4 linked regions of the Caenorhabditis elegans genome follow. The protein of the gene in region 1 interacts with the protein of each later gene in a pairwise test. Each region holds a gene or a part of one and is shown on either strand. Other genes may lie near its edges.

The links.
Region 2: the proteins of abu-11 (region 1) and W03G1.5 interact in a two-hybrid assay, tested with the Caenorhabditis elegans proteins (one large-scale study listed by BioGRID).
Region 3: the proteins of abu-11 (region 1) and lys-1 interact in a two-hybrid assay, tested with the Caenorhabditis elegans proteins (one large-scale study listed by BioGRID).
Region 4: the proteins of abu-11 (region 1) and gtbp-1 interact in a two-hybrid assay, tested with the Caenorhabditis elegans proteins (one large-scale study listed by BioGRID).

The regions. Positions count from the first base shown.
Region 1 is NC_003280.10:190,997-197,320, forward strand, and holds abu-11 (Activated in Blocked Unfolded protein response), read right to left. Parts: upstream 3,563-6,324; 5' UTR 3,539-3,562; coding exon 3,464-3,538; intron 2,819-3,463; coding exon 2,600-2,818; intron 2,552-2,599; coding exon 1,982-2,551; intron 1,920-1,981; coding exon 1,596-1,919; 3' UTR 1,513-1,595; downstream 1-1,512. Other genes in the region: T01D1.8 (ZP domain-containing protein), read left to right, coding at 90-297, 344-463, 936-1,043; chs-2 (chitin synthase), read left to right, coding at 5,989-6,075.
Region 2 is NC_003282.8:503,085-508,596, reverse strand, and holds W03G1.5 (PB1 domain-containing protein), read left to right. Parts: upstream 1-2,112; coding exon 2,113-3,528; downstream 3,529-5,512. Other genes in the region: pig-1 (Maternal embryonic leucine zipper kinase), read left to right, coding at 1,450-1,539.
Region 3 is NC_003283.11:10,275,046-10,280,536, forward strand, and holds lys-1 (Lysozyme-like protein 1), read left to right. Parts: upstream 1-2,858; 5' UTR 2,859-2,862; coding exon 2,863-3,324; intron 3,325-3,518; coding exon 3,519-3,953; 3' UTR 3,954-4,011; downstream 4,012-5,491. Other genes in the region: Y22F5A.11 (uncharacterized protein), read right to left, coding at 357-453, 504-532; lys-2 (Lysozyme-like protein 2), read right to left, coding at 5,323-5,491.
Region 4 is NC_003282.8:10,124,177-10,130,533, reverse strand, and holds gtbp-1 (Ras GTPase-activating protein-binding protein gtbp-1), read left to right. Parts: upstream 1-1,577; 5' UTR 1,578-1,588; coding exon 1,589-1,691; intron 1,692-1,781; coding exon 1,782-1,906; intron 1,907-1,958; coding exon 1,959-2,021; intron 2,022-2,065; coding exon 2,066-2,594; intron 2,595-2,649; coding exon 2,650-2,892; intron 2,893-2,939; coding exon 2,940-3,298; 3' UTR 3,299-3,785; downstream 3,786-6,357. Other genes in the region: Putative sodium-dependent excitatory amino acid transporter glt-3, read right to left, coding at 44-138; K08F4.3 (Translocon-associated protein subunit beta), read right to left, coding at 400-554, 601-835, 930-1,034, 1,087-1,140; ctf-18 (AAA+ ATPase domain-containing protein), read left to right, coding at 3,896-3,960, 4,015-4,181, 4,224-4,462, 4,509-4,711, 4,755-4,923, 4,969-5,426, 6,002-6,254, 6,302-6,357.

The sequences.
Region 1 (6,324 bases):
TATGGCAATTGCGGAGGGATTGATATCGTCTTTGAAATCAGGAAAAACATAAAACATTCAATTTATTTCTTTTTGAACCATCGTTGTAGGTTTCCTGAACCAGAATGCAAGTACAGTGTACATCATGGATCAGACAAACTTGGACGAATTGTGACATCAAAAGTGAACATTGGAGATGAAATTTATCACTCGTGGAATTGTAATTATAGTGGCGATCACAAAAACTACTTGTTCTGTGTGATGGTCAATAATTGCACGATTTCAGACAGCGGGGAGGAAGAAATAGGAACAAGGAAGGTAAGAGCAGGTCGATAACAACTCAATAGTAGAGTATCATTTAAAGATTCAAATAATCGACGAGAATGGGTGTTCGGTGTTCCCAAACATTCTACCCGATATATCATATCAAGGAGATTTATCAGCTGGAATTAAGGTTCACGCGTTCGCATTGGATGTGGACACGGTAAGTTAAAAGTGGAATAGCACCAGTGGGAATTTTGTCTACAGTTATAATAACCCAAAACCACCGAATATCATAATAAAACACTCAACAAATTTTAGATTTTCATAATTTCCGGTCAAAGTTTTGGCAAATTTCCCTATTCAAAAAAAAAAAAGATTTTGAGGAAATCTAAGGCAATGTCGCATCTTCCGACGTTCTATAATGTTTCAAGACGAATAACCAAGACAAAATTACAGTATAAAGAATGTAGGAAACAAATTTTGGTCGACTTTCAAAACTATGAGTGGCAAATGAAAAAACTGAGTAATTGCCACTTTTTGACAGTAAACAAAAAATTCTTTAAAAATTTTTGAAAAGTTTTATTATGGTATTTGGTCATTTTGCTATAAAATGAGTAGTTTTTAACACTCTCCCCACTGACGCTACTCTACCTTTAAGAATCGTGTGGAAAATATCACTTCTAAAATCTCAGACGGCTGTTCATTTCACATGCAATATAAAAATGCTGTTCAAGGACCATGAACAGTGTCAGAGGCCTCGATGTGGAAACCAACGACGATTTTCGAGATATTTAAATTGAGATATGATATGAATAAAACATTTTGTCTAATAAAATTTTTCAAAAAGTTTCACACGCAGGATTTATGTACGAAATGTTTAATTATTATTGCGTGGAGGTTTTTTGTGTCAAAATCTATAACAACTAATATTCCCAAAAGACTGGAATTAAACACCGAAAACCCTTATTGACGCAGGTAACACCCTTGATGACCGTTCATTATTTTAAGTTTCTTACCGCTTTTCAAATATAACACGTAATTGGTGGGTTTAGCTTTTGTGGTAAAACTTCAGTTTCAGAAATTGAGTGGAAAAGAAAAAAAAGAAGATAGATGTTCCGCAGATTATAGAGATTGAAAGCTAAAATTTACATGACTGAATGATTCATAAATTTTTCTATTCTAGAAATTTCTCTGTAATTATCATCCCAAGAGGGAATAATAATGATAAAATATTTAGTGAAGATGTATGATGCAGGAGATGAACATATGTAGAAAACAATTTATTTATCAAAATATACACAAAAAACCATCACAAAGTTATTTTTTCCCAAAAATTAATAATTAAAGTTAATTTACTTTCTGCAGGAAGCCGAACAACTCTGCTGACAAGCTGGCTGACACTGCGAGATTGGTTGCTGTTGCTGAATGCATTGGGTGTTGCAGCTTTGCTCACATTGTGGCTGACACTGTGGGGACTGACGAGCAACTGGAACATTGATGGTAAGCTGAATTTGTTGTTGCGTTTGAACTGGAGCTGCTGGAGCAGCTGGGGAGCAGGCTGGCTGGCATTGAGCGTCGCATTGTGGAGCGCACTGGTTCACTGGGGTCTGCTGGACTTGGCATTCCTGGTTGCACTGGGTTTGGCAAGTGTTGCACTGGGAGATGGTTCCTCCGACCTACAAATTTAGGTTGGATTTCTTTAAATCTAGATTTAGAAGTAATACTATTAATATGTTACCTGAACATTGGTGTCTCTGTATGGCTGGTAGGTTGGTGCAGCAGTCTGGGAAGCTCCTTGGTATGATGGAATGGCTCCTGGCTGTTGGTAGTTGTTGTTGGTTTGGTAGTTGTTCTGGGCCTGTGGCTGGTAGTTGACTTGGTTGTAAGCGGAGCCAGATGGCGTGGCACATTGTGGCTGGCACGATTGATCACATGATGATTGGCACTGTTGCACTGGCTGCTGTTGCTGCTGGCATGTGTTAAGGCACGAGTTTTGGCAGGTATTGCATTGACTGGCTTGTTGCTGTTGTGGTGGGGCAGTATTGTACTCGGATCTTCCGGTGTAGGCTGGGATTTGTCCTGGCTGAGCGTAGGTTTGCTGTTGGATCAATTGTTGAGAGTACTGATCATCGGATTGACATGTCGTCTGGCATTGCTGCTGGCACTGTTGCTGTGGTTGTTGTTGTTGTGGGCAAGCAGCTTGACAATCTTGTTGGCACTGTTGCTGAGCTGGCTGCTGAAGCTGAACTGGCTGAGCGCATGCGGACTGGCAAGTGGAAGAGCAAGATGATTGGCACTGGGCGATTGGCTTAAATAATATGAAATGGCTAACTGGGTTGAATTTGGTTTGACTAACCTGTTGCTGGGCAACACAGCTCTGTTCACAGGAGCTCTGACAAGTTGGTGCACACTGTTGTTGCTGATACTGTTGAGCGCATCCGCAGCTTGATGGCTGTTGAGCTTGAGCGCAGGAGCAAGATTGTTGGGCGGTGTTGGTTTGAGCTGGTTGGCAGTTGCATTGTGGAGCAGCTGGAATGGCGCATCCACATGAAGATTGGCGACGAGCGCGGAGGAACTGAAAAAGGAACGACTTAATTTTTCAACTTAATTTTTTAGTCTTCTGGATAATATCTCATTTGCAAAAAACCTTCTAAATAGGCCCTTGCAAAAAAAATTAAGCGGCAGAGGAGAACTTAGAACTAGAAAAATTTCGATCTGAAGTTGCTATTAGTGTATTTTTTTTATTACTTTAGAAGCCCGTAAAATTGAAAATCAGAAAAACCCCTTGAGTGAAAAAATTTCAGATTTTTTCAAAAAATTAAAAATTCCAAAAAAATTTACGATTGTTAGCCAGCTCCTAAACATGCTAGAAGCTCTTGAAAGTCAGCAAAAATTCACACTTGGCACATTTTTACTGCCCTCGATAGTTCGAAAGTTGTGAAAAATTCATTGAAAACTTTTCAGAACGACTTTTTTGCAGCTCAAAATACTCCCCTGTTGCTAAATTTTCAGTAGTAAAATAATGAAGTCAAACGATAAACTATTTGAAACATATATTAAGAAGTTCCTATATTTTACTTAATTCATATTCAAGTTATGCAATTGCTTGTGAGTGAGCACGAAATGTTTTAAAATTAAAAAATAAGTATTTATAATATAAGAGTTAGAAAAGGGGAACAAATGAAATATTTATAATTAGATTCATAAAAATAATACATACCACATTCTCCTCAGCAGCCACCGCAAGTGCTGAAACCGCCAAAAGCGAAAAGAGAATTGAAAATTTGGTGTTCATTTCAAGCTTGTCAGAGTGAGTGATGATTGTCCCAATACATGCTCTTGCTTATATATCTTCCCGTTGCAATCAGTTAAACATCGCCCCCTCTCCTCTACTACCACCTCTGTCCCAAATTCCGGTTTCTTCGAGTGATGCGTCTCCAAATTTTTTGCGTGTGCCTGTGTGTGTGTGTGCTCATGTGTTTGGAAGAGCAGAGCAAGAGGGGGAGGGCGTGTTGTTATGTTGACATGTTGTTATTTTTTTGTTTTTTACTTTCTAGTATTCACAAGGGTTACAGTTGAAGAACTGGAGGGACGTGATCTTTCAGGACTTGGTCGATGTCAAAAGTCTTCCGGTGGTCTTTCAGCAGCCATCACAAACTACAGCAAAATATCTTTCTTCTTTAAATAATCTTTCTGATTAATTTGCAGTCACAAATTCAGTTCCTCATTCCTCATTACTCATAGAGTTATTACAAAGACAAAAATAGATATTTGAGAGTTCACTCGGTCAATCACCATTTCTAAAGTTCTTACTTTTCTTCCCAACAACATTAATTATCCCTGTGAAGTCTAGACTATGATATAATTGTTGTTGCTCAGAAAATAATCATGGAACATATTTGCAAATAAATAGATTTTTGTATATGGTGTAAATGTCATGAGTAATATATTACGTAATAACATTCTGACAGGACAATAACGTATGCTCCATGGGGTTTCAGGACGAATGACATGTTTTCTAGAAACTACATGAGTAAAATAAATTAATAACAAGATTTTGACAAATTCAAAACCCAATGGCAAAAGTATCATTTTCAACTTTAAATGGTTATGTTTGCAAATATAAGCTGTTTTTGTTGCTCTAGGAAGATATCAGTTAAAAACTCTTTAAAAAGTTATTAAAATGTATGAAGATTGCTTTCATTATTCTCAAACTTGTCATGTAAAACATCAAAAACCTGCCAGTCTATGACCTACAAATTGCGTCAATTGTTTGATGTTCTAAACTTGGTGAGAACTAGTTTACCAGCGCTGAATCTTTTTTGTGCTCAAAGCGGAATGGAATTTTTTGATCTTAGTCATTGCATCTTTACTCTTGTGGAGGTGCACTCATACTAATATCATATCATATAACCTGATAGTCTTGCCAATATTGCGGGAAACTGATAAATCCACTCGGCAAATAGTTTTGGTGCAGTTTTCGATATTTAGTACGAATGTTTTTATAAAATTATTTCAAGGGAAACCTTGAATACTTTGTAAAATTACATTGTACCTTTTTGCAGATAGAGGTCTTAAATTCATATTACATTTTTTTACAGCGCCTTCACACCCACCCAAATCCAAATTCCGTTGAATTGTTTTCATTGATACTCATGATTTTTTGTTACCACAATCGCTCACGCTTTTCAAGAGATTATTCTTGAGGAGCATGTTTCCTTAGGATCAAGGGTGTGGGAAGAACATTGCGAGAGTGAGAATGAGCACGGAAAATGACCGGTCTTTATGAGAGCGGAAGTATGTATACACTATCTCTATCTTGTTAGACAAATAATCAACACATGTAGTAGCTAATGTAGGAATGCTAATTATGTTAAGACGTGTGGGGGGATTAGATGCTGTGAATGAGCAGTTCTACAAAAGATCAAGGGGTACTGAGAAATTTGCTCTTTTCGATAGGAAGACTCTGCAAAAGATCAGATGCATGGATTCTCAAATCACAGCGTGTATTTGAGAGCTACACAACAAAAAATGTGTACGGCTGTCGAACCGTATTATACAAAAACTTTTCAAATTAGGGGCGGGCGGCAATTGCCGTTCGGAAGTTTTTTTGTCGACAAATTCGGAAAATCGGTAAATTGCCGGTTGACTGGTTTGCTGAAAATTTTCAATTCCGGCAATTTGCTAGTTTGCCGATTTGCCAAAAATTTCAATTCCGGCAATTTAGCAATTTGCCGGAAAAAATCGTTTGCCGCCCATCCCTGATTCAAATATAATATTTGAAAGAAGTTTCACACATAATATGTTTATCAACTTTCTGAGAAAAAAAAGCCAAATTTAGGTTTTAGCTATTGTGATTTTTTTCCGAAATTAATTTTTGGCACCTCAACGTGTAGTCCAAGAGGTAGACAGTTTCAAAAAGTGATGTTTAAAAATTTCCAAAACAATTGAGCTTGATTTTCTGATCCTTGAATAATGTATCGATGCTTGGTCGTTGCCTACGTAATCAGACGTTGTTTCTTCCTTTTCGTCTACTCACTAATAGAATACAATCCTGTCTGCCTGAAAACCGGTGCTCACAGGCACCCGCAGGTCATTCAATGACAGCTACAACAACTAATTGTTTGGGAGGCAAATACAACATGAAAAGTGAGAAGAAATGGGTTTTGAATAGGGGGAAATCGCCGATGGGCAGAGACCTTGTGAGGCTCAGTTTCATATTTTGCCATAGTATGACGTGCTAGGATGGACAGTGGTAATAAGGAAAAGGAGTTTGTGGAGGAGTGGGTTCAGGACTCACATACTGGAGCCCAGGTCCCTCTCGATCATTTGGTTAGTTGTTTTTTCTACATTTATTTCCTTCACATTCTGTAATTAAAGTTTATTTCATAAAAGCGCATCATTATTTTCTAGGCCCCCACAAAACTTTTAGCGGCAGAGGAGCACTTTGAACAGAATAAAAGTCGCTCTGAAATTGCTTTTTTTCACTACTTTAGAGGCCCGTTAAATTGCCGCAAATGATAATTTTTCAAAAATTACTATGATTTTTAAGCTGTTTCGAGGTAGACAAGTATTCTGGAA
Region 2 (5,512 bases), on another chromosome or scaffold:
TCAGTAGCAATTTTCTGAGAATGCTATCTTGTGAAACATTGTGAAAATGTAGATATCTCAAAATGGCTGCTTTCGAGTTGGTAGTAGTGATGAGGAAAAAAGTTGTTCTCAGATTTTGATCGCTCAGAGAACGACACAGTTGACTTCGCTCGTCGCATAGAGAAGAATCGCGTTGAGTGTCCAAATAAAATGACTCATCGGTTTCAGCTTCTTGATCGATCTCGTAATTTCCCACTTCATCGACCGGATAACGAATTTCCCCGTCTTCATCAATGAATCCTGTTGTTTCTTCGTCTTCGAGTTCATCTTCTACACCATCTTCCTTTTGTCGTTCTTCATCTGCAGTTGTTTCCGTCTCGAAGTTATCGGCCTGGGTGCTTGAATTTGATGGACCATTGCTTCCCGGCTGGTGAGAACCATGATTATTGTCCGTCGGGTCTGAAAGTAGTTATTTAGTCCCAATAAAATCATTTAAAAAATTTACCTAGAGCAACTATTGTCACGCTTTGAATCAGAAGACTCCGGGGTGCTGAATTCAAAATTCTTCGAACTGTTGTTCTTGGATTTCTGGCCATAATCCTCCGTTTCTAGCCGGGAATGATACAAATCTTTGAAAAACACACTGGAATTAACAATTAACACATATTGATAACATATCACACAAAAAATACAATAAAAAAGGTCAAAAAAATGAAATATGTGAAATACGACGAAGAAAAAACAAAATAAAATCAATAATCAATGTTCTGCTAGTTAGCAGTGGGTTTCTGCTAATTAGCAGTGCTTTTTAGCTAATTAGCAATGACCTGCTAATTAGCAGTGGTTCTCTGCTGATAAACTATGGCTTTACTAGCTTTTGCTGATTAGAAGTGATTTTCTGTCGCTCTGCCGTGACTCCAGTTTATCTGAGTTTAAAAAAACATTTTTAAAAATTGTCTAATTTTGAAACGTTATTTTGAAAAACTTGATATTTTGGTAATTAATGATGAATTCGCGATTTTATCAGTAAATGCGTAAATATACGGCAAAAAAATAATCTAAAAACTGTGAAAAGCTCGGCAAAAAGTAGGGTTGATTCCAAAAGAAAACATTTTTTTTCCGAAAGAAATTAAAACATTTTTTGCCAAAAACACGAAAAAGCTTTGTGTAATTTTAAAAATTGTGTAATTTTGAAACGTTATTTTGAAAAACTTAATATTTTGGAAAATTGTACACCTTCTCATAATTTTTTAAAAGTTGAATTTTAGTGATTTTCAGCAAAAAAAAAACGGAAAAATTGTATTTTTTGCCAAAAAAACCAGAAAACACAGAATACACAAACTAAAAAATGTATGTGCGATTTTCAAAAACTGAAAACATGCCAGAAAAACAAAAATAGCCAAAAAATCCATTTTTACCCAATAAAAATTCCCATTACCTGACCCAAAAAATAATCCATTAAAATTTCAGGTCGGAATCCGCAGAAAGCGTCTGAAAGGTGACGCGTTCATGTACAAGAAGGTGTGCGAGAAGATTCTTCAAATGGCGAAAATCGAATAATTCCTATTATAAATATTCTTGTTTTCCTTTTTCTTAAATTTTCCCCCTAATTTTCGCCCAAATTCTCGTCTTCCTGGGTTTTTGTGTGTGTGTGTAGAATATCAATCCCGTTATCATTATTCTTATTATTATTATTCTTATTTTCTATTGTTCCAAGTTGTTTTCGAAACTGTTTTTTTCGAATTTTTCCCAATCGTGTAATATTTTTTGAATATTCCTCTCTCCTCTCTACTAATCCCTCGAATTTAAGTTTTTGTTTCGTATGCTCTTCTTATCCAATGATACCCCGCCTTTTTTTGGTATGAATGATCAAGATCTCTTTCAAAAGTTGTTTTCCCGCCAGCCACAAATAATCCTTTCCCCCCCCCCCCCAAAAAAAAACACGTGCTTTCTCCACTACACTAGTGAGGTTGCGCAAGTGTTCAGCGCCAAAAACTCTAACTCGTATTTGCTCTAGCCGTCTTACTCTCACAGTGACTCCACCCATTTTGCCGCTGATCTCACGAAAAACAAGTGGCCGAGTATAAAAAGCGAGAGCGGATGCAGTTATTTTGTCATATTGAGTCGCTACTGATGGCTCACGGACATCATCATCACCACCGCCGCGAGCGCCCGGGGCGCGAAGTTTATTTCAAACTTACTGCTAAAGATTCGAAACAGGCTCATCTATTCTCTATCAAGTATGAGAAGGTCGCCGGATTGCTCGAGAAGCTCAAGAAGAAGCTCGCCGAGTTCAAGGTCGACTTTGCCAACATTTTCTGGATCGATCGGGAGAAGGATCAGATTTTCCTGCAGACAGCCGAGGATCTGAAGGAGGCGATCAAGTTCTCGAGGTTTGTGGTGAAGCTGTACGCTGAGGGAACTGGTGAGAAGGATCTGAAGGGTCTGAAGAAGGATCTGAAGAGCGAAGACGATGAGGATGATCGTCGCAGCAGCAGCTCCTCATTCTCGAAGGTGTCTCATGGAAGATCGGAATCCGAGTCGTCTTCGTCAGGATCGGAAAGCAGCGATGACGAAAATGATCGCAAGAAGAAAGGTGAGCGTTCTGGAAGTTCCTCTTCTTCTTCTGGATCTTCCCGATCTCCATCTCGTGGAAGACGTGGAGGACGTGGTGGCCGCTCAGGATCCAGCTCGTCATCATCATCTTCTGAATCACGATCTCCCGGAAGACATGAGGAGCCCGAGAAGCAAGGAAAGAAAGAAGAGTTGAAGCAGCTGAAGAAGCAAAAGTCCGAAGGTGTTGAGCATCGTGGAAGATCGGGGTCACCGGGAGGACGTCGTGGACACGGTGGACGCCATGGATCCCGTTCTGGATCTCCAGGAGGTCGTCATGGTCATGGAGGCCACGGAGGACATGGATCACGCTCCGGATCTCCAGGTGGTCGTCATGGTCACGGAGGCTCAGGGCATCATCGTGGAGGTCGTCATGGAGGCCACGGAAGGCATGGATCGTGCTCCGGATCTCCACGAGGTCGTCATGGTCATGGAGGCCACGGAGGACATGGATCACGCTCCGGATCTCCAGGTGGTCGTCATGGTCACGGAGGCTCAGGGCATCATCGTGGAGGTCGTCATGGAGGCCACGGAAGGCATGGATCCCGCTCCGGATCTCCAGGAGGTCGTCATGGTCACGGAGGACGCCACGGCCCACCACATTGTCCAGGACGCCATGGAAGACATGGATCCCGTTCCCACTCTCCTAGAGGACACGGGCACGGAGGACGTCACGGGCCACCACACTGCCCAGGGCGTCATGGACACCACGGACCACCACACCATCATCACCATGATGGACGTTCTCCATCTCGTCACGGCCACCACCACCATCATCATCATGGATGCCGTCCATTCCCACCGCATCATGGACATCATCACTTTCCACCATTCTGGCCACCATGCCCACCACCACCACCATTCTGGCCTCCACATCGTCGTGGCGGTCACTGCCATCACCATCATCATAATGGACATCGTTCGTTCTCCCCATAAACTCTTAATTCTGATGCTTATTATACTGTGCATAATGTATATTTATTTGTGATCAATAAAGTTGTAAATAAATAAATAAAAAAATCGTGTTATGTTTTTTGTTTTTTTTTCAGATTTTCAGGTGAAATAAAAAAAAGAGAACATTGATTCTTCCAGGAAGGCAATTGCCTAGGCAACTGAACAAACATGAGTTCCTTTCCGTCTGTTTTTTTCCAATTTCCACCAGACTCCTAGGCTTCCCCAAAAGGCCAACTGATCGCTTCCAAAAGGCGAAGACATCTCGACCACTTTCTGTTGATCGACGAACAATTTGAGAGAGAGAGAGAGAGAGAGAGAGGAATTGACACAATGAGTGTGTAGTTTGCTTTTGTTTGAGACACGCAGAGTTTGTAGTATTCGGTGTGGTTTATGCTTTAGAGGTTGCAAAATATGAAATCGGAGTAATGGAAAATTGAAATATGACGAATTGACTAAAGTGAAGTTGGATGTTGGTTGCTATTTATTAGTAACAAATTTCGATATGAAGATGTTAATTTAGTGGCAGTGTTATATAAATTTCAGTCTACTTCGTAGGTTCAAAATTGTTTGCATGTGTACCTAGCAGACAAACATCGGTCAAACGTACTTGTAATAATGCTGTAATACTGGTGTTCCAAGGCTTTTTTCGACAGAAAAAATGTTTTCTGAAAATGTTCGAAACCATTAAAAAATTGAAAAAGGACACTTTTTAGTGTTCGGAAATCAATTTTGAGTCTTCTAACAACAAAATTAACCATTTTAGAGGAGTTTCAAAATTGTGAATTTTAACAACATAAATAGCCCAATTTTGGTACCTTTTAATAGTTTTTGATGGGTTAAACCAAGATTTTCTGAATTCAGCATACCTGAATTACCAGTTTTCAACAAATTTAGACAACTTTTTATTTATTTTTTCCTTTTTTTTTTCAGCCATCCTTTTTTTTGGTCAAAAATTGTTTTTCTGAAACTCTTCGAAACCAATATTCTGAAAAAGAACAATTTTTAGTGTTGTTGAGTGAATTTTTAGGGAATTTTGTAGAAAAAAACTGAAAAAAACTTTTAAACAAATTTGACCGTGGTAGAGTTGAACTGTAATTTGGATGCTAACTCAAAAACGAAATGATTTTTAAAAACTATGCATATGAAAATTTAAAGCCGAAGTTTCTCAATCTACTAATATTGTTAAACTTACCATCATTTTTATCAGATTTTTATGGTGCAGTAAAACATTTGTAACAAGCTTTTGAACATCGGACTTCTATTCCAATTACTTGTTTGAGCTTCGATTTTTCTAGCTTTGTTTACCCGTTGCATAATCTGTGCTCATGTTATATGAGATACATATACATGTTACTACTCGGCAGTTTGCTACTCCTGGCGCGCGCACGTTTCGCAGCGGGCGCGCCGACGGAGCGCGCTAGTAATAATGTCTCGAACGCCCGGCGCACTCTCTGCGCGCGCCCCGCGCATTTGATACAAATTTTGTCACGGCTCGTTCCCCATCCCTTCATTATTTTATCAAATACATTGGCAATGTGGAATACTGAGTATATTTAGATTTAACTTTATTATAGTGAAAAGCTTTAAAAATTTAAAAACTTCAAAATTAAAAATTTTTCCGTTGTGCAGCAAGTTCTCTTCTTCCTTTGTTGGAGTTCCTGAAGTTCTTTTGATGGATCTGAAAAATAAAAAAGTTAATTTCACTCATTGAAACATTTTTCATGTTCATTTGAAAAAGAAAAAAAAAACTTACAGGAATCAGGGAAATTAAACAACTCCGAAAATCTTCTTTTCAGAGGCCCCTCGTGCATAGGCCGTGCGGAGGTGGTGAATCCAATTCATCTCCATACCTTTGCTGCTTTTCTGAAAATATCAAATTATGTTTATAAATAATTGCTATGTATAAAAGAGGTCAAAGACCTGGTTGTTATCAAATTATTACTCATTTCGAGGAAATCGTTTTTAT
Region 3 (5,491 bases), on another chromosome or scaffold:
ATTGCCGCCTGATCTTATATAAGATTATTTTACTAAATGATCAAGTGTTTCTAAAAAGTGGGTACAGAATGCCAAATTTTCAATTTTACTATGGGATAGAAAAAAAACATTCCGTACTTGATGAAAATTCTTCCACAGGGAGTTTTATACTAGCAATCTTAATGATGATTGTAGTTTCGGAAACTGCATAACTGGTGATTTTTTTTAGCTAATGAACTTATACATAGTGGGATAAGACAACTTTATTTAAAATATTAATGTTTTGGAACATGGATCAAAAATTAAGGCAAGTGGTACCGTTGCAAACTGAGCTTCAAATATAAAATTTGACATAATAGAATAAACATTATTTAGGATTATTTTTGATATATGTTCAGTGTATCGAAAATAAAATTTCCCCAGAGCCACTTGCTCCTTGTGCCGGTTAGTTGGCTGAAACTGAGAATCCCAATTCTAAAGTTCAAAATGTTCATTTTATCTATCTTCTTCTTCTGGCAAAATACATTTTCAGACGTTCTCTGTGCATACTCATGGAGAAGACATTTGCGGATTCTTTTCAGAACAAAAAATAAGAAGAGCAACAAAAAAGTAAAAGACGAATGGGACGATCAATGGAAAGAAAGAAGGAAAAGGAGAACTCGTAAAAAACGGGACGGGAAACCATCGGACACATAAAACACAGAGAAAAGGCGATGCTGAGAAGAGTTTTCGTGGAAGAAGAAAAAAGAAGACGAAGAAGAAAGAGAGCAACGGACAAAAACGGACGAATGCCCCGGAAATAATACACGAGTGCTCTGCGCCGGATGTCGACCGCTCGTTATTATGAATGCGTTTTTTCGCATCGTTGATGACATACCAACAGAGCAAAATAGGTGGACATGGGTTAAGAAAAGAGATGTACAGTTCATTAGGTTTTAATTGTTACGAAAGGGCATACATTTTCTGAAGCGACCTACAATACTAGAATTTTGAGCGTATAAAAGTCACAAAAGTCACTTAATCTCGCCTCGAACCGGCATGGTCACCTTCAATGTGAACCTTTATAGGTTTTTTGCGCATTCTGAAGGCTATAATACTGATTTCAAAAATATATGCACGTTATCATTTGTAAAAGATCGATTATTGAAACTCTCACCAAATCCATCTGCCTAGTAAGTGCAATTCATATATTTTCGAGTTTTGAGAATGCAGCTGGATTTTCATTTTGAGAGCACAAAATCCTAGGAAAGCGAATGAATGTTTGATCTCAGTATTTTTTGATTATTTTCTGTTGAGAGGTGTATTTGAAAGGGTTTAATGTTGTGCAATGTTTTTATAGCAGTTTATTTGTTTTTTAATGCCAATATTTGCTTTGTCTTCTGTAATTTATAAAACATCTATAAAAAATTGCTGATCCAGTTAAAAAGATCTTCATTATTCCTAAAACTGGGAAAAGTAAGGTACCGAAAATCTCTGATTCTTGATCTTCATTTCTAACTAGAAACCTCAAGATAGTCACCGATAAATATTCAAGTGAATTACGTTTTCTTCTTTTTTATCTAGGAATTCCCTCCGCTCAGCTATTTTAACCCTAACAGGCCACCTTACGTTTTTCTTCTTTTAATTTTCTTCGCAGGAAAACTCATTTGGATGCGAACGAGCTTCTATTTTTTCTGGGTTTGTCTTGTGATTGGCCAGGCACCGGAGCATAACTGACGAGATGTCGGTTCCAGAAAATAAGCGGAGAAAAGGAAAAAAAACGAAGAAAAGAATAGAAAAAAGGAAAGTTTGGTGAAGTGGCAAACGGGAAGAGTCCGTCAATTGTTGTCGAGAGGCGACCACATCCTTCTACTCTTCGTTTTCGAATTTTTGGAGCTTTTCGAATTGTGACAATGAAGGAATATGGATGGTGAAGAGCACAAGGGTGACCAAATATTTTATTGAAACGGAAAAAAATGGACAATGAATTTGGAATGTGGAAAAATTGGGCAATTGTTGAAGTTGTCACATGGGTTTTGATATTTGGAAGTGAAAGATCCTCTTCGTAGATTGCTAGACGTTAATCCGAAACCGACATTAAAGATGAAGCAGCCAGCCTGGAAATGATATTTCCATGAAGTAAAAGAAAGAAAATGAGAATATCTAATAAATAAAACACAAAGATCTATCGTTGTTTTTTATTCGGAATATCATGAAAAGATAAATCTAAACTTCAAATATAAATCAACCTTTGATTCTCAAATTGTCGGCAATATGGCTAACGTTGTCTGACCATGTATTGAAAATATGTAGTTCTTCGTCAACTCATGATAGAATGTTCGTCAAAACCAACAGAATAACATGTGAAAAGTGGGATGTAAATAAATTTAGTGACTCATCTAAGAAACTATCAGCAATAGCCGTTAGCGACTAGTGATATATGTCATAGCGTGCTAGTATTCTATTGACAGAATCGCATGAGTCATATTCACATTTGTAGAAGTATTTTATCAGAAACCTTCAGTTCCAACCGCTTTAAAATTCCCTGCCCAAATTGGTCGCGGAAAGAAATTTTGTTTTAAATGAAGAATGCTTCTTTTTTTGACTAATCGCATAACTAATTTTGGTAGAAATTATTTAAAAAGAGTACTTAATTTTATCATCAACTTTCCAGTTTCCAATTAATATAGTCTTGACATTTAATATTACTAACGCCCCCGAATGAATCTCTTTCACCCTACTCGTCACTTTTCTATCTCCACTGATTACCCTTATCACTGGACGTTTTCTTCTACTTAAACGAGCCGCCATCCATCACCGAATCATTAGATTTTCATTCTCTCAACCTTTTCGTTGGCACTTTTCTTCAAGTCAATATTATTTTCTGTTTTTTGTTTCAGAACCATGCTCAAGCTTGCTTTCGTTACTTTCCTTTTTGCTTTGGCTTCTGCTAGACCACAAGATGTCGACTCTAATAGAGTTGTAGCTCTTCCACAGGACAACTTCGAAGTGACTGATATTGGTTTCGAGAAGATCAAGGCCGAGCCAGCTCCGGAAGTTGTGAACAATGATGCTTCATATGCCTACGCAGTTGATATTTCTGTTCCAACAACAGTTTCTCAAATGAACTGCCTCAAGACATCCAGATATGCAGCTGTTTTCATCAGAGGTTTCACTCCATTTGGATCTGGAGCATTCGACACAACTTCAGTCACTTCTATCAGAAATGCTTATTCTGCTGGATTGGGAATTGAGGTCTACATGACTCCACAACCACTTTCTTCTCTTCAAGGATACCAACAACTTGATGCTCTTTATAACGGACTTAACGGAAATGGAATCACCATCAGATCTGTCTGGATTCAGGTTAGCTATATACAAGAAATATAAAAAACCTTGAACAATTAAAAGTTAAATTAGTTAAAATGTCATATGTGAAAAACTGGAAACAATGTACACTTAAACATTAAAATCTTCTTTCCGGAGATTATTTTTCAATTTTCAACTGATAAGAAATTTAATTCTCGACGATTATAGTCTATACACTTGAACTCTTTCAGGTTACCTCCCCAGCCAACTGGCAGAAGTCTGCAACTACTAATGTGAACTTCCTCAACAGCATTATTTCACGAGCCAAGCAATACGGACTGACTGTCGGAATCTACACCAACCAATACGACTGGAGCCAAATTACTGGAAACTGGGCAACTTTGAGCTCTGATGTTCTTCTCTGGTATTGGCATGTTCTTGGAGGTGGTGTTACTGGAGAGACTCCAGCTACTTTCGATGACTTCCGTGCATTCGGATCTTTCAAGAAGGCTTCTGTTAAGCAATTTGCTCAAGTTGAGTCTGTCTGCTCTTTGACCGTCAATCGTGATGTTTACGTTGTTGGAATCCCAGCTGCTGCTTCATCGAAAAACACTGATTTTTTCACTCAAGAGGACATCAGCAGCAACAACAAAAAGATTGTTGTTGGAGGAGTCATTGGAGTCTAAAATATTTATGTTGTGATCTCTTACCTATTTGTATTATTTCAATAAACAATCCTAGCTTTATTAAAATTTTATTTTAAAAAATACTGAAATATACCATATAACATACCAGATATATACCAGAAATTAAAATGAATGATCAGTAAAATTTTAATTGTGTCTTTTCGCATGACGATTTCACTTTATTTCTGAAGATTTTTGTGGAAATCGTTTCTATAAATATAATTTTGAAAAGTAAACATTTAAAAAGTTAAAATAGCCGTGGCATAAATGCTAATTGGCAGTGATTTCCTGTCCCTCACTAGGGAACGGTCAGAAGGTGCCCATCGGACTTGCATATGAGACCTATGCCATTCGATAGCCCATGTCTTAAAACAGTTACTCGTGAATTTTTAGCGGCAAAACTCCCGAACCAAGCTCACGGCGGGCTCTCAAAGATCTTAAAATAGCACTGTAAGGAAGAACTTTAACGATCTAACGAAGCAATTTTCCAATTTCACTTTGGTAGCTCATATCTCCGTAGATAAATTTTTTACAGAAAAGTCATCAACTGATAAGTTGTTGATTTTGTTGTAACAAACAAGTTTGTAATTAAAAGTTTTTTACCACAAAATTTTTGTTTGAGATAAAAGTGCGTGAAGTGCGGCAACTGGTGTTGTTATTTTTATGCTGCTATTCCGTTTCTAATGATTTTCTCGCAAACAAAAATTTTTTGGTAAAAAACTTTCAACTACAAACTTGTTCTTTACAACAATATCAACAACTTTTTAGTTGATGACTTTTCTGTAAAAAATTTATCTACGGAGATATGAGCTACCAAAGTGAAATTCGAAAATTGCTTCGTTAGATCGTTAAAGTTCTTCCTTACAGTGCTATTTTAAGATCTTTGAGAGCCCGCCGTGAGCTTGGTTCTGGAGTTTTGCCGCTAAAAATTCACGAGCAACCGTTTTAAGACATGCACTATCGAATGGCATTGGTCTCATATGCAAGTCCGATGGGCAGCTTCTGACGGTTCCCTAGTCAGCCGTGACTCCAGTTTATCTGAGAGGGTATAGGATAGAATATATTCAATATTACCCGCGTGGAAGGCTTGTTGAACTCAACGTAATTTGAAAAAAAGAAATCATTTGTTCAAAATAATTAAATCTGAAAATTAACATACGAAGATGTTTTTGCACTTTTTAAGTTGCATTGACACCTAACGATAATATGCATTTAATCGCTTTTTACGCATTAATATCAATGTGTTTAACTTTCGTGACTTTTAGACTTTTTCTCTCCTTCAAGAAAATTCTTCTGCCGGCAAAATGATAACAGATGATAACAATTTTATTTGGGAAGAGATCATAAAACCGATAATAAGTTTAATAAATTAGTTTCCGACAAATCCTCCGACAACAATCTTTTCACCATCTGCCATATTGACTTCAGTCTTTGGAGCAGCAGCTGGAATTCCAACAGCATACACGTCACGATTCACAACCAAATTACAAACTGTTTCAACTTGAGCATACTGCTTCACTGAAGCCTTCTTGAATGGG
Region 4 (6,357 bases), on another chromosome or scaffold:
AAATTTACAATTTAGACCCGAAAGATTTTAAAGATCTTCTCACCTGGGATTGAAAGGTCGAATAACGAAGCCCAAGACAACACCGAGCACGACAGATTCGATGGTAAGCACAAGAAGAAGATCCTTCTTCATGCCCATCTTGTCTGTGTTGTTCTTGACAACTCGACTGCCGACTCGCTTCGTTCAACTAACGAGAAGAGAGGGATTATGCAAACTATTCTAGTGCCGTCTGAAATTTGCATTCGGCTGACGCAGTTGACATTGAAATGTGGAAAATAAAATTGTCGAAAAACTACAATATTTTATTCTTCAACCGGGTGCTAATAAATACAATTTAAAGCTGACTTATATGTGTACCCATAGATTGATAACCAGTAAAATTAAACAACGATTCGAAAGCTAATCCTGTTTTTTGTTTGAATAACGACGTTTGGAGATCCAGTAGAGAATTGCTGGGATTGCAGTCAATGGAAAAGCGATGGCTCCGAATCCGAGGAAGTGTGTGCAATTGACTCCTTCCACTTTTCTCATGGCAGTTTCGGCGAAGAAATGAGCTTAAGTTTAAAATTTTGAATTAGTTCCGTTGTTTTCAAAACATACTGTATCCTCTCTTATCATACGAGACTGTAGAGGTTCGCGCACGTTTGCCAGTCTCGGAATCAGTATAGTTCACGGTAACATCGTGATCTTCGATGGCTTGAGGAACACGAGGAATGACAACAATGTGATGGTAGATGGTGGAATTCGCAGGAATGACGGGAAAACTTGCTGTTGCAGATCCTTTCAAAATCTCGAATCGGTCAGTTGGGAAAGATTTGAGATCAGACAGCTCGACCTGAAATAATCGACAATTTCTAACCAAAATTCGCGTTATCCGAAAGAAAGAAACTAATTTTTAAAGAAAATCTTTGCGACTTTTTGAAACATACCTTGAGAGCTGGAGAAAGGCCAATGTTGATAATCTGATATTCAAATGCGTTTTCTCTTTGTGCAACCGGATACTTGGTCACGAAGGATTTGCCGATAAGAATTTTCTGTAATTATACGATTTTAGCCAGATTTATAAATTTTATTTGATAAAGTTACCGCAGAAGCATCAGCAGCTGCAAGAGCAGAGAGAATCAGGAAAACCAGTTGCATGCTAGGCGCTTCACTGACAATAATGATTTGATAAATCTGTAGGAAGTTCTCTCAATAAACGCCTTGTTGGCAAATTAAGCTGGAAATACGTGGAAAACCGAGAAGAAACAAAAGACTGTACTACAAACGGAGGATGCAGAGAAAAGTGTATTTGAACTGCCTCGCAAAATGGCAATCGTGCCGAGACCCATCACTAAATTCAAACGAGCGTGCCTGCGAATCAAACTGGCCCGTTGCCAAAAAACGCCTCTTTCGAATTTCGCGCGTTCGGATTTACGTTCGTTTTCAGTTTTCCGGTTCAATTTATCCGTTTTACAACTAGTTTCCTCCAAAATAGTTAAACTTGATATCATGAAGCAAGCAGCGGTTAAATTATTTTTTCGTCATCTTTTACATAAACCGTTTTTAAAATTATAAACAAAAATAAACATTTTCAGGTAATTATTAAATGCAGATAACCTCGGCCTTAACCCAGAATAAGATGGATCCGATCAATGGTAATTTGACTTCCACCGCTCCGGTCGAGCCACTCTCATTGACAGCCGCTGAACGTGAGTCATGTCGCACTTAATAAGTGCTTACACACCTTTTCTTTCAATTCTTTCAATCCCGAATATTGCATTAAATTGATTTTATTTCAGAAGTCGGTGGAGCGTTCTGCCATCAGTTCTATATCACCGTCTCTGAGAACCGTAAAGCGATTACCAAGTTCTATGGACATGAATCGAAGTTCTATTTGGATGATCAGGTGGTCACTGGATCGCAGGTTGGCAACAAATATAAATTGACAAAAATACATTTCGTTAATATATTTTTAGGAGATTGTTAAGTTGTACAATCATCTACCAGAAACCACCCACTTCAAGATTCAATCTATCAAGGTAAACACGACGTTCTTCGATTTTCCTACAAATATATTTTTAAGGGATACCCAACCCCACACAAACAGGGAGTGATTATCAATGTTATCGGAACCGTTAACCTCCGTCCATTCCTTCAATCATTTTTGCTTGGGCAACAAGGGCAGAAAAAATACTATGTCGAATCAGACGCTTTTCAGTACATTGATAAGTTTTTCGTCGCGAATACGGAAAAGGAGAAGACTACTTCGTCGACTGGTCATAACGGACACGCCAGTGGAGCAAATGGAAAGGATTCCAAATCTTCCAAAACCGAGCAACCTAAGGAACAATCAAAGCCGGCTCCTCCAAAGCAGCAAACGCCAAAGAAAGCTGAAGATCGTATAGTGAAGCAAGACACTCCGAAATCTGTGGAAAAGGAGGTAGCGAAAACACCGCAGAAACCACAGCTTGCCCAACAGCCCCCACAGCAGAGAGCCCCAGTTCCTGAGCCTGTTCAAGAACAGCCAAAGGTTCAGAAAACGTGGGCTAATCTTGTGGGTGGAGGTGGAAAGTCTCAGCCCCCACAACAACAAAGTTATGGACAAGGACAGCGTGAGTTGAAAAAACGAAAGATGATCGGGCTAGTCTCAGATTATTTATTTTTCAGAAATCCATCAGCAAACACAAATGCACCACATGCAGCCTTCCATGCATCAGCAACAACAAGGATCGCATGCTCCTCTTTATCAGCAACAGAGACAGTCGCACCCAGCTAATGAATTGCGCCAAGCTCAGGAAAGTTCAGATGCCAACCTAAATGAGCGTAAGATCTATTTGGGAGGAATCACTCGAGAGATTGTCCCCAGCAACACAGCTCAGGCTGAATCGGAAATCAAGCAGGTGTTCTACAGTAAGCAAATTAATAGTCCCAATAGTTCACTAAATTTTCATTTTAAGAATATGGAGAAATCGAGGAGGTTCGCATGCCGCGCAAGGTTCTTGACAGTCCGAACGACACATCGAAACATGCCTTTGCATTTATTACCATGCGTAACAAGGCCGGAGTAAAAGCCATTTTCGAAGCGGCTACAAAGGATGAGCAAGGCGTGTGGAAGCTTCCACTCAAACTGGATGCATTCGGATTTGACGGACATGCTCAAATTAGTGAGCAACGTGATCAACCACAAGGCGGCGGATTCCGAGGAGGACGTGGAGGTTTCCAACCACGCGGTGGACAATTCTTCCGCCGTGGCGGTTCGGGTGGTGCTCCACGAGGTGGTATGCGCAGCGGTTTCCAAAATGCGGGACAAAATTAGAAGCTTTCCGTTCTCCTTTTTCCTTCTTGTAAGAATTGCACATCCATTAGATTCTGTACCTATCCTTCTCATTTTCCTATTTATTGTTTCTCCTTTCCTTCCTCACCGTTCTAATAATGATGATTTAAGTAAGAAGATTCTGGTATCTGAATTTTATGGCGTGTAGCGTTTTAGTAGATCTCTCAACAATCCAATCCAATCAGCCCGCATCCCATTTTCACATCCTATCTCCCCGGTTTTCGGTGATTGACGACCGTGATCCCATCTGAGTTTACTCTTTTCGAGTACAAGTTGCAATCAGACATCATCCCACCACCGAATATCCAAGTTGTATTTGAATGTTGTTTTAATATATTACCACTTTCCTTCTCCTTTTACAAGCCCCCGTTATTGTTTCCTTCATTGGTGTTCGGGAGTACTCTTTGTACTCAAGTTCTTACCCCCATTTTGGCACGTTGGAATTAAAATAAAGTTTTGTATCTAAATTATTCAAGTTTCTCAATTTGTTTTTTTTATATGTAGTGTGTCAAGTAACAGTGTATTGTACTTATTGTTGTGAGATTGTGTTTCTAACATTTCTAATGGATACAGCAAGACATGGATGATGACTACAATGTACTGCATTCTGGGTTTGCCGACGATGATGGGCAACTTGAATATCCGTAAGATCTTTATGTTGAGAAGCAGAAGTAGTTTTACATTCGCTGAATTTTAAGAGATGATGAGGATCAGCTAGCTGTAGTTCCGAATGGAGACTCTGAAAATCAAAGAATCAATGAAGTTAGGAATGCTCTCGAAGAAGTTGGATATGGTAAAAGAAAAAGACGCTTGAATGAAGTAGAAGACGTATTTGATCAATATGGAAGACGTTCACATCCAATGGGTCAGTCAAAAAGAAGGTTTTCCAATTAAATTATATATTTAGATTGGCATATGAGAATGGAAACAGTTTCCAGTGAAGTATTACAAAAGTCACAAGTAAATGCTGTTAAGAGAAGAGCCCTCGAAAGCTTGGAACAGAAAATCAACGAAGCAGCTGCTCAAGCTGAAAGAAAAATGAATGAAAATCATCATTCTAATGCTTTTGACGATTTTCAAAGCGGAGAGCAGACAATTTCTTCACTTTGTGAGCTAGAAATGGAACGGAGATATAGAAGACGACAGGTTATTACTTTTCCTTGAAAGATTATATTTTTATCATTGAATTCAGGAAATCATGCGAAATCCGGTAACTGATGGTTCACCTTGGATTGGTATCAGTGATGTCGTCAACGGGCAACGATTTTATATTCGAACTTTCCGTGATGATCGTCTTTCTGTTCCGTTAGTAGAATCGATTACCCAACAAGCAACCCGTTCGAGGGTCGGTTTTCGAGCTTTTCAGTCGATTTGTCAGGAATCCGAACGTCTTAGGTAATAGTTTCACTAGAAAATTGAATACTTTTATAGTTTTCAGCAAGTTGAAAGAAGAATCTCGCGTTAAAGAACAGGAAGCCGAGTTTTCACGCATGCTTAAAGAAACTGAAACACCGTCTGAATATGAAAATAATAAATCTCATCCAGAATCATCATTATGGGTGAACAAGTACGAAGCCAAAAATTTCTCAGATTTGCTCTCGGACAGTGTAAGGAATTACATTATTTTAAAAAAAGAAGTCACGATATTGCAGACTGTCAATCGAAATATTCTTACATGGCTGAAAATGTGGGACGAGTGTGTGTTCCATCAAAAAGTCGACGATTTACTAGCAAGCCTCGGTGAAAAAGAACGAGAAGTACTACACATGGATAATGGCAAAATTCGGCGTCCATCATCGAAAATGTTGCTTCTTTCTGGCCCGGCTGGTCTCGGTAAAAGTACACTAGCACGAATTGTCGCTCGTCAAGCAGGCTATTCAACAATTGATGTAAATGCAAGTGATGCTCGAACAGTCGCAGATTTAAATAAAGTACTAGAAGGAGCTGTAAAAACATCTCGAACACTTGATGCAGATCAACGGCCAGCATGCCTGATTCTTGATGAAATTGATGGAACACCAATTGATACTATTCGTCATTTGGTTCGGTGTATTCAAGCAACAGGCAAAAAAGCCATTCGGCGACCCATTATTGGAATTTGCAATAATTTGTAAGTTATTTTATGGCTTCAGTGACACAGAAAGAAAATATATAATAGGATATCGGGAACAGTTGCAAAAACATTTTCAACCAAAAACCAATTTTCTCCAAAAAACCGAAAAAAAAAACACTTTTGATTTTTCCATCATACCTACATTTTTGAAAGATAATCTTTTGTTTTTTAGTCCAAAAATCCATTTTTGCAAGAAACACCAACTAAAAACGACAGTCCTAATCGGGAACAAAGATGTCAGCGAAAATTTTGACGATTTTTTTCACTGAAAATCTAAAAATCGAAAAACGACAATTTTTCGAAGAAAAAAAATCAGTGAACCATAAAATTATTTTTTTTTTTTGAAATCAAATTCTGTTTTTGTTGATAAAAACACAAGAAAACATGAATAAAAATAAAATAGAATAAAAATGATCAAACTTTCAAGATATTTTTCGAAAAATCGAAAGAAATCAAAAACTAAAATTCTTGGTTTCAGATTTTGGTAAAAATCGGAACACAAACCCCCTTTATCGGGATAACTCAATGTATTCGTAAGATGTGTTTGATTTTCTAATTATTTGTTTTTAAAGGTATACGCCAGCATTGCGTGATTTACGAGGAGTCGCCTGGTGTGTGCAACTAGTCGCAACAAAACAAGATGTTTTAGCAAAACGACTGGAAGAAATTTGTGACCGAGAACGTCTTCGATGTGATTTGAGTACTTTGAGAAAGTTATGCGAATTGTGTGCAAATGATATGAGACATTCAATTAATACTCTTCAATGGGTAGCGGTGGCAGCACGAAAATCGAATCGAGCAATTGGAATGAAGTTGATCCATGAGGTATGACGCTGTATATTTTTTGATATTAATAGAAATCTGTTTTTTAGGTTATTGAGAAAGAGAAAGGCGGATCTGCTTCTATTTTCGAACATTGGTCGTCAAT